Linked DNA regions of Caenorhabditis elegans. The protein of the gene in region 1 purifies or fractionates together with the protein of each later gene. This does not show direct contact. Each region holds a gene or a part of one and is shown on either strand. Other genes may lie near its edges. The genes, in order: mlc-3 and myo-1.

Region 1 (4,729 bases):
AAAAATAGTTGTCAGCTAACAATATATACGAAAAATTGTTTAAATAATTTGGCAATTTCTTATTTTTTGGAAGCTACCGTTCTTGCACAGTAGACGGAAAATAAATCAATTGATAAAAATCAAACTGGCAGTTTGTTTTTATCAGGTCATCGACTCAAAAGCTGATATTTCTAGCAGCCTTTCAACTTACTACATGTACTATACCAAAATTTCCATTTCATAATTATTCAAAAGGTTTTTTATTATAATCCAAAAAGGAGAACGAATATAAGAAACGAATGAATTTCTGAATAAAAAAGTGTAAAATGAAGAAAGAAAGAAAATTTCTTGATCATAGAAACAGGCTTGAATGTGTTGGAGAAAAAGAAGAGAAAACCGCGCGCTGATTTTTAAAGTGCAAAACGTTTTCTGGATCAGAAAACGGAATGCGCGCACGCGAGTGGAATCTCTTACGTGTATAGCGTAGAAGAAAACGAGCGACTAGACGATGGGTTTATAGACAAAAAAGTAAAACATCGTTATTTGGAACGGGGAGAAAGAAGGCAGAGAAGGGAAAGGGGAGCAAAAAATTTGGGTAAGAGAAGATGGTGTTTTTTTTTTCAAAATTTAAACATTATAATGGGTGTAGCACAGATTCAGATCCAAAAATTTAGTCCTGGTCTGGGAATGGTCCGGCCAAAACCTTCTTGATGAAATCTGAAATAAATTTCAATTAAAAAAAATTTCCGAGAAGAAAAAAAATCGGCTTACCCTCGTACTTGACCATGCCTTCTCCGTCTTCGACTCCCTTGAGGAGCTCATCGGCCTCATCGGCGGAAAGTCTCTCACCGAGAGCCAAGAGGATGTGTCTGAGCTCAGCGGCCAAGATCTTTCCAGTCTCCTCCTTGTCGAACACCTTGAGTCCCTCGTAGAAGTCAGCGTAGGTTCCTTGCTCCTGAAGAAATTGGAAATTTATATTGGAAAGAACAATTTTCTCAGTTTATAATCTCAATGTTAAATGAATGATGATCTGCTCTACATGCGGACCCTAAGGTAGGCATCTAACTCCAGTAAACATAAATCATTCCCTATTCAGGTGACAGTAACCTCGAACATCAGCTAATTCCATCCCGAAGCTCCAGAGAACTCTCTGATTTTCGCTTAGGATTCTATCCAAAATTCGTTAGACACTGACTTTCAGATTGTCAAATTTGAGTAGATATGTGCTCAGGTAAACTTCGCAGACTATTTAATAACGAAAGCGAAATGTGTTTCCCAAAATATCTGGCCAAACTTGCTATTTCAAACTTTATGAGTTGTCCAGTCTTCTGAGCTCAGTTCGTAGGTTTCTATTGGCTCTTCAAGATCTCCATGTGCTGTTTTGAATCTTTTCTAAGAAACTGGTTGCCTTAAAGCTTTCAAAATACTGACGGTTGTGGGTCCAGAGAATGCCCTAGTTGAATTCAATCAAAGATCTACAGGATTTTTTACCTTAAACCTCCACTAAATAGTCTGAGCTGGCAGCTCTTTCCAAAACTCAATAGCTCCTAGAAGCTTCATATATACTCACTCCATTCTTTTACCCGTATATGGGGATCCTTACTCAAGATCCCTTGCCTATTCCTTACTACTTCCTATCCATACAAATATCTACAACAAGGACCCAGTAGACGCAGAATGATGATGCTCTCTATTGTTACACTGTGCCTATGTGTGTGTTTGTGTGTGCCAAGAGAGATTCTCGAGAGTCCTATGTGCTCCTCTCCCACACATGCTTCACGGGAGCCGCCGCCGCCTATCTCTCTAAAGTTCTAGGGATCGGCTGGCATGTGCCGGTGGAAGAGGATGTTCAGATTTTTCAGACCCTTAGTTGTGATTTAAAAGTTTTCGGCTAGGGGTACTGTATGGGGTTAACCTCTGAGATCCAATATTTACTTAGACCTTGAAATAAAACAAATCTCAAGCTTCATCTTCTTTGTTTGATTATCACTCGGTGCGGGAGTTAAAGGTTTGGCGCGAGGCCCCTAGATCCCTAAATCTCAAAAAACTCTCAGCTAAAGGTTAAAGGCACAGGCAAGATGTTTAAAATACCGTACCTTCTCCTTGGCGAGTTGCTCGTACATCGGGAGCCACTCCTCGAATGTAAGTCTCTTCTCTCCCTTACGCTTGAACTCCTGTCCGGCGGCCTTTGTCACCATAGCCTGAGTTGGCTTAAGTCCGGCGGCGCGGGCGACATCTCCGACTTGGGTTCCGTCGATCTTGCCGTCAAGCTCCTCATCGTAGAGGTTGAAGATCTCCTTGAGCACGTCTAGAACGATTTCAAGTTTGAAAAAATGTTTGGGATTGTAGGGATATATTTGGGGAATTGGATATATTTTTGAAACATTAAAAAAAAACTAAAAATAAAATGTTTTAGAAGTCCTAAAACCTTATAAGGTATCCCTAAGAGCTGGGGACATTGCTTAAAAAATTACTCACCTTGGGATGGTGGAGCCATTATGTGATGATGTGTGAGTGTTGCAGCGGCGGCAGAGCAGGGGGGACTGAGTGTGGAAACTGAGTGAAGGCGACAGAGCAGTGGCAACCCAAGTGTAAACTGTGTGTGACTCTTCGTAGAGGATGGGGGCGGATTGGGGCGGATATTGAGCTCCCGCACTCCCGCGCGAGTACACTATTTCACCCCTCGGGAGCCCGAGAGATAGAGAGAGGGATGTAATGCTCAAGAGATAGAGTGGCGAGATGTGGGATGTGAGAGCGAGAAAGCGCGGCGTACTGTTTCAACAAGTATTTTCTAGAAAATTTTCATGATAAGTTTAAGAATGAATGTATGACAAAAAAAACAACAAAAAATGTTCAAATTTCGGGGAACAAGTAAAAAATAGATTAAAAAATGATTTGGGAAGGGGAAAGAAGAAGCATAACAACAACAACAACAATTACAAAACAAGGTTATTCGGTGTATCTGGCCAAGTCCAGCCTCGGGACAATGTTCATGGATTGAAGTTCCTGGAAGAGCAGCTTACACGCATACGGAATCTTAATGTTCGCCATTGACTTGCTCGAACGACACTTTTGGCACCAACCCTTCGAGCCGATTACTCCGCATCCAGTGCACACGTCGACCTGGAAAACAAGAAATTTATTAAGTTACATTGGAAATCTATTATACTCTCATCGAATCGTTTTTTTATACAAACTGAGTTTTAAGGAGTACCAAATTATCCTATAAAATATTTAAGCATGCGTCTTTTAACTTTTTTATGTTAAAAATCCATACTTGTGTTTTTTAATATCGACACATTATTATAAGGCTCAACAAGTATCCATTACTTTTGCATTAAAACGCTTGCCTGCCTGACCTTAAGGCAACCTCCGCCTGCCTCTCGCCTCAGTCCGCGAATTCTGCTAAACCATTTTGTTTCTCTGTTTACGGAATAGGTCTACAGTACCCCAATGCTCGAAATGTTAATTTATTTTATTTCCTCCCTCTTCAATAATTAATAAGATCTTTGTGTTTTAACACATCTTCACAAGTTCATTTTTCCCGTGTTGGCTGCCGAACTCGATTAATTCGTTGTAAACGTATGTTTCTCTATTCTCCCTTTCAATATCTTTATTTTCTTTCTCTATCCTCCCCGCGTGCCACTTCAATCGCACATTTTCTCGGCATTCCACTCCTAGGAGCACAGCCGACGGGAAGAAAAAGCACAGGCACCCACTGTGGAGATATCTCTTCCTTCTTATTCCTCCTTCTTCTGTTCTCTCTTCTGCCAATGCTTTTACTCAATGACGAGAGATGCGGAGATCAGTGGAGTCCACAGACTTCGGGGTGGAAGATATAGTGAAATGGCAATCAAGGAGAGATCAGCGAGACATCTCTCCACGAAGATCACACTATTCACCAGGCATCTCGCATCGGGGCAAAAATCTCATCTTTTCTTCTTCTTCTTCGATGACTATTTTGTGGGCAAAAAAAAACGAAAAGTAGGAAGGAAGAAGCGAATCAAGACGAGAGCTCCGAAGGTTTCCTGGAGGGATCTTAATGTGAGGTTCACTTCCAAGTCTTTAGATCTCTGATTCTTGTTTGCCACCTGGGACAGGTGCAGAAAATATTATTTTCGGTACGACTGTACTAAGAAAAGGCGGTTTTAGTAAAAAATGTTCTCAAAAACTCCGAAATATCGCTGAATTGTGAGAGATTTTTTTTATTTGGGAATGGATCTTGCTCGAATAGCACCGAAAATTTGATTTTTTTTAACTTCCGAGCAACAGAGATTCAGAGCCATTAAAATAGAAAGTTTTGCTTTTTTTAAAAAGTTTTTAGGGAAAATGCTTTTTTTAAAATCGATTTCTCTGTTCTTATAAAAAAGTGGGAGTTCAAAAAAAAATTAATAATCGGTTTCCGACCTTTTTTTTCGATATTTTCAGATAAAAGTCGGGAAATGTATTCTCTCATGATCAAACAAAATCCATAATTTTCTCTGCGGTAAATCAAAAATTTTCAAGAACCTTTCCAAAAAACGTCAACCCAGTTTCCAAGAAAAGTCGACCCGCAAAGTCAACCCACGCAAGGCTTCTCCCAGTCTCTCCCGCAACAGTTTCGCTCCTCATTTTCGCAAAAAAGAACCACTTGAGAGTGTTACGGCTAGTGTAATGATGAGCAAAAATTGCGCGCACACACACAAAAGTAGCAAACTTTTAAAAAAAACTCGGTAAGGGAATTTACCTTAAACTCATCTGATGACACCAT
Region 2 (5,206 bases), on another chromosome or scaffold:
ATGACGGAGACAACGGTGTCGTTGAGAGGATCCTTGTTCTTCTCGAGCCAGTTCAACACGTTGTAACGGACAGTTCCGGCGTAATGCCGCATGGCGAAGTGAGCCTCTCCTTGCTTTCCCTTTGGTGGTTTTGGCTTTTCGAAGTTTGGATGCTTTCCAAGATGTTGATCGGTAAGCTTCTGGGCAAGAGTCATGTCAGTAGCCTTTGGAACAATACACTCCTCATCAAGCATAGAGATGATACCGAGTGGCTTCTCAATAAGCTCGATACAAGCTTGGAGATCAAGTCCGAAATCAATGAATGTCCATTGGATTCCTTCACGGGCGTACTCTTCCTGCTCAAGAACGAACATGTGATGGTTGAAGAATTGTTGGAGTTTTTCGTTGACGAAGTTAATCCAGAGCTGTTCGAAGGAATTGAAGTCGAAGATTTCGAATCCAGCAATATCGAGTACTCCGATGAAATAATCACGATCAATTCCCTTTTGATCAAGAGTAAGATTACATTTCTTGACAAGCCAGTGGAAGACACGAGCGTATAACCCCTTAGCCATGGCTCCAATAGCCCAGTGAACTTGATCAACGTTCTGTCCCTTGGATACCCATTCGGTTCCGACCTTGACTCTTGGAGACACCAAAGCCTTAAGGAATTGATCGACATCAATTCCGTACATGTTACAAGCTCTCTCAGCTTCATCTTGGCCATCTGGCTCGGCTTGCTCCTCACGTGGGCGTTGCTTGAATTTCATGTTACCCATGTGCATGTGAGCCGACATGAGTCTATAACAATCCATCTTCTCGGTGGGCGAGAATTTGAGAACATCAAAGGCCTCGTCGGTCAATTGGAACTCCTCAGTGTCATCGATTCCTGGAATAAAACAAGTTAATCTCATTCTCCAGAAATACAAAACATACCATCAATGAGCAACTCAGCTTGAGCAACAAACCAATAGTTGGAAATTGGATGGTTGAGAAGAAGCTCGTCACGGAGTTGTGGCTTAAAATCTGAGTAGATTTGGTAGAAGATATGGTAACAACGCTCTCCTGGAGCTTGACGGATGACACGAGATTTCTCGAGAAGATCTGAACAATTTACGATTTTCGTAATAACTTCTTATCATTATTATCAACTTACAGTGTTCAATATCGCAGGAAGCAAGAGTTCCGTGCTTGTTGAAGTGAATACGGATGAACTTTCCGAAACGGGAAGAATTGTTGTTACGGACAGTCTTGGCGTTACCTAAACAACCAAATTATCAGACAAGTGTTAATTTTTTAATTTATGTCTGTACCGAAAGCTTCCAATACTGGATTGGTTTGAACGATCTGGTCTTCAAGGGTAACTTCCTTCTCTCCCTCCTTCAAAGCAGCCTTTTGTGAAGCTCCGACGGTGGCAAAGTAGCAAATAACCTTCTTTGTGTTTTCAGTCTTTCCGGCTCCAGATTCTCCGGTAATAAGCATAGACTGATTCTCATGGTCTTGAAGCATGTAACGGTAGGCTTGATCAGAGACAGCGAACAAATGAGGTGGCATCTCGGTACGACGCTTGCCCATGAACATACGAGCAACAGAGTCAGTGTAAATTGGGAGACGTTTGTATGGGTTGATGACAACGCAGAAAAGTCCAGAGTAGGTCTGAAAATGGGCAAATTGGAACATTTTGTTTCAGTCAATATCCCATTTTTATAGAACTTACTTCTTTAAATTTCAGTAGTATTCAAATTTAGTTATTTTTTGGAACGATATTTTTATATTCTCAATACTGCCTTTGTTGAATCACATATTTTTAGTACCATTCCAATTTCAGTCCAAAATTCCAATATAAATTTTCTCTTTACTCACTGTGCACATTGAGCATGACTCTCTTTGTTTCTCATCGTCTGTCTCGATCCACTTAAGATAGCATTTTGCCACTTTTGCGTGGGCGCACTATTTGCCTATCCAACTACGCATTTTCGCAGATCTTTTTTCCGTGTTTCTATTTGAAGTTTTTTGAAACTGAAAAAACTTACATAGATAAGCATAGCAGCGTAACGGGAACGCAAATTCCACAGAACGGAGGCGTCATTAAGGAAAGTCAAGTTGGACATGTCTTCGGTTTTCTCGAACTTTGGTGGATTGACTTCTTGAACGATATCCTTCTTCAAAGTTACATCTTTGCCTCCGGCGGTAACGATAACAGTATCGGCCTTTGGTCCTGGACCCTTAATAACTCCCTCAATGTATCCTTCTTCGGCATCTGGAATCCAGACGTTCTTCTTCGAATCGTATGGGCGGGATTGATCCTGTAAAATAAAAAAAATATAAAAATTAATTTATATTCATACATAGTTATAAAATAATTATTATCCTAAATATCAAAACGGTGAAGTTTAGAAGCTTTAAAAATAACGATCTACCGAAAAACCGGTAAGAATTTTAAGAGATTGAACCTTGAAAATATGTTTAAAAAAGTAGCCAAGAAACAATTTTTAATATTTTGCTGTAAAAATGCTCACTTAACCACTTTAAAATAACTCTATTGTAATTGAAAAAGTTTCATTTTAAAGTTTATCAGAACATATTCAACAAGTAAAATAAAGATTGAATCTTGTTCTAGTTGGAAAATTAAATTGAATTGTTTCTATACTCAAAATAGATGAAATATTATTTGTCGAGAGAAGGACAAATTGGGAAAATACGGTATTTTATTAGGTTCAAAACTGAAGGAACAATTCGTTATTAGAAGTGTATAAAAAGCAGCGACTTCAGATAAATTTCGAATATTTTGGAATTTGAGAAGATTAGGATTTATGAGGAGAAAAAATACGTCGAATGTAAACCTAGGAAAAAGTAGAAAGTAAAATGAAAGAAGTAAAATCTTACCGCGAGCTGTTGCTCTCTCGACCTTTTCAGGTACTGCCATCCTGGGTCCTTCTCGTGTTCGAGCGACATTCTTGATTTGTTTCAGTGGAAATTAAAACGAACGGCTAATTGAAAAATGAGGCTAAACAGGTGGGTGACTTCTTCTTTTTCTTCCTACTGCTGCACTGCACACAGCTCCACACTACTGTGCTCTGCAGGGACGGATAATAGTTTGGCACACACAAGAGAGAGCTTCACTCGGCACACTTCATAGGGCGGAGCAACTCAAACTCCCCCTCATCTTCCTCTCTTGCTTAGCGCCCGTGCGCAAGAAAGGGGGCTCTCCGATATCCACACAATGAACTGTTGCCGAGAGCATCAAACGTCTCTTGGATGTGCATTGTCCATACGTTTTGAGCTTTTGCGTCGCCAGTCCAAGTACTTTATCTTTCAGGTTCATCGAAAGAGTATGTTAAATTGAGAAACGAAGAGATTACTGTAGAACTTGTTGAAAAAATCAGAGGAGGGGGTTCTTTCGGAATGAGCCCGCGCTTTTTTGAGCACACATTATTATTGGATAGAGACATACGTAAGAGATTTTTGAGAGTAAGCGCTTGGAACTTGTGGGAGTAGATAAAAAAATGTAGAAAAAAAATTAAGGGATTCATTCTTAGTTTACTTATATTTGTATAAAAAATTGGAATCAGTGATTTCAGTAACCTGGACCAGCAAACTGGTCTTATTTTATTATTAGAAACAACACTATTAGAACATTAATGAATACTGTGTAAGAAATCCGAATAATAATAATAGATCTAAATCGGATTTGGACACAATTATTTAGAAAAATTTTAAAAAAAGCGACGTTTTGAGTTTAAAAAAATATTTTTGCTTCCATCGTGTTCTTTGAAGTACATTCAAAGTTGGATGCTTTGTCGTTGAAAACATTTGTCTACATTAAAATTCAGAAATCCATCAAAAAATTTAACATGAGAAAATGTTATATAGAAACTGTGCTGCCAAATAATATTCAATATAGTGTACCTTAATACCTCAAGCAATTTTATAAGTATTTATTTTTTTTGTCAAACCATGATATTCAACCTTAACGTTTTCATTTAAAAATCACTATTTTGTATTCGCATAGTTCATTCGCGATGTGCGCATACTCATTTCGATTGAGGACCGGTACGATATGTGTTTCACGAAAACGAGCATCCGCAATGCACTCACTGCGAGGCGCGTTTGGCACATTGTGGCCGACTTCGTTGGGGATGTGTGCCACAATATCACTGCTGCGAAGATCTCTCTGGACATATTATGTGCTGATCAGATATTAGTCTCCCAGCTAGGAATTAACTTTTCAGATTATTAGTTATAGATTGTTTGAGAAACCTGTTTTTTTAACTGTTGCAAATAACGTTTTTTTTGTAGCTTAACCTAACTTTCATATCCATTCTCTCCAAAAATGTGTTGTAATAATGATGAGAGACCAAGTGGCATTGGTGAAGGAAGTTTCACCGAATCTCTCGACTTTTTTGTGCCATGTCTTTGCTCCCCCATCCCACACTCGGATACTTCTGCGCATCCTCCGCTCGCCTTTTCTTCGAATTTTTCTCGTTTTTCTAATAGTAATATTTGCCCAATTTCTCCCCCATCTATATCTCTCACACAGTATTTGTATGTGTGTGCGTAAATGTGTGTGTGTCTGTTTCTTTTTGAGATTTTCGCTCCTCTTATTCATCTTTGTTCTCGGGGCCACCCCCTGAAATTCAAAGTGAACACGGGAACACCGATCAAGTATGTACATCGACCAAGAATTGAAATCATTTTCTCCTAGTTAACAGTCTGGAAACACGAAAAGTTGAATTAGTTTGTTTCTCAGCAAATTGAAATAAAAAATTAAAGTTTCTAAAAACTTTTAAGAAGACTCTCGAAATTTCTAAGATTTCTGTGACATGTACCATTCTTTTTCCTTGTAAGTATTGCTGATCTACTAGAAAATGTTGTTTCAGAATTTTTTCTTAAAAAATTCAAAGGATAAGTTAATTAAAAAATTACAATAAATATATATGCAAAAAGGATTCTGATGGCAAAAATATTCCCAACATTTTCGATATTTTTTAAAGAATAATGAAATTAGTTAGTTTAAGACCTTTTTGAGTCTATTCCCACTTTAACCTTTACCAGAGAATGCCACTGTTTAATGACTGCGCTCAATATGCTGTCAATTTACTATTTTCTACTACATACAGTTATCAACCTATTAATAAAATGACTTTATGTTCTCAAGTTTGTTTCCAAATACTGAAACGAAAAATTAAGCTCGTAGTCAGCTGGGGAAAAATGTTTCATTTATTTC

What was found.
Region 2: the proteins of mlc-3 (region 1) and myo-1 purify together in Caenorhabditis elegans (affinity purification with mass spectrometry; 2 studies listed by BioGRID, with this or other methods). This does not show direct contact.

What each region holds. Positions count from the first base shown.
Region 1 is NC_003281.10:5,562,879-5,567,607, reverse strand, and holds mlc-3 (Myosin, essential light chain), read right to left. Parts: upstream 2,584-4,729; 5' UTR 2,477-2,583; coding exon 2,458-2,476; intron 2,288-2,457; coding exon 2,076-2,287; coding exon of another isoform or gene 2,034-2,075; exon of another isoform or gene 1,792-2,033; intron 935-1,791; coding exon 751-934; intron 697-750; coding exon 650-696; 3' UTR 601-649; downstream 1-600. Other genes in the region: rpc-2 (DNA-directed RNA polymerase subunit beta), read right to left, coding at 2,929-3,102, 4,706-4,729.
Region 2 is NC_003279.8:7,264,002-7,269,207, forward strand, and holds the start of myo-1 (Myosin-1), read right to left. Parts: upstream 3,057-5,206; 5' UTR 2,935-3,056; coding exon 2,866-2,934; intron 2,286-2,865; coding exon 2,013-2,285; intron 1,636-2,012; coding exon 1,293-1,635; intron 1,241-1,292; coding exon 1,136-1,240; intron 1,084-1,135; coding exon 916-1,083; intron 869-915; coding exon 1-868. UniProt on the Caenorhabditis elegans protein: Muscle contraction.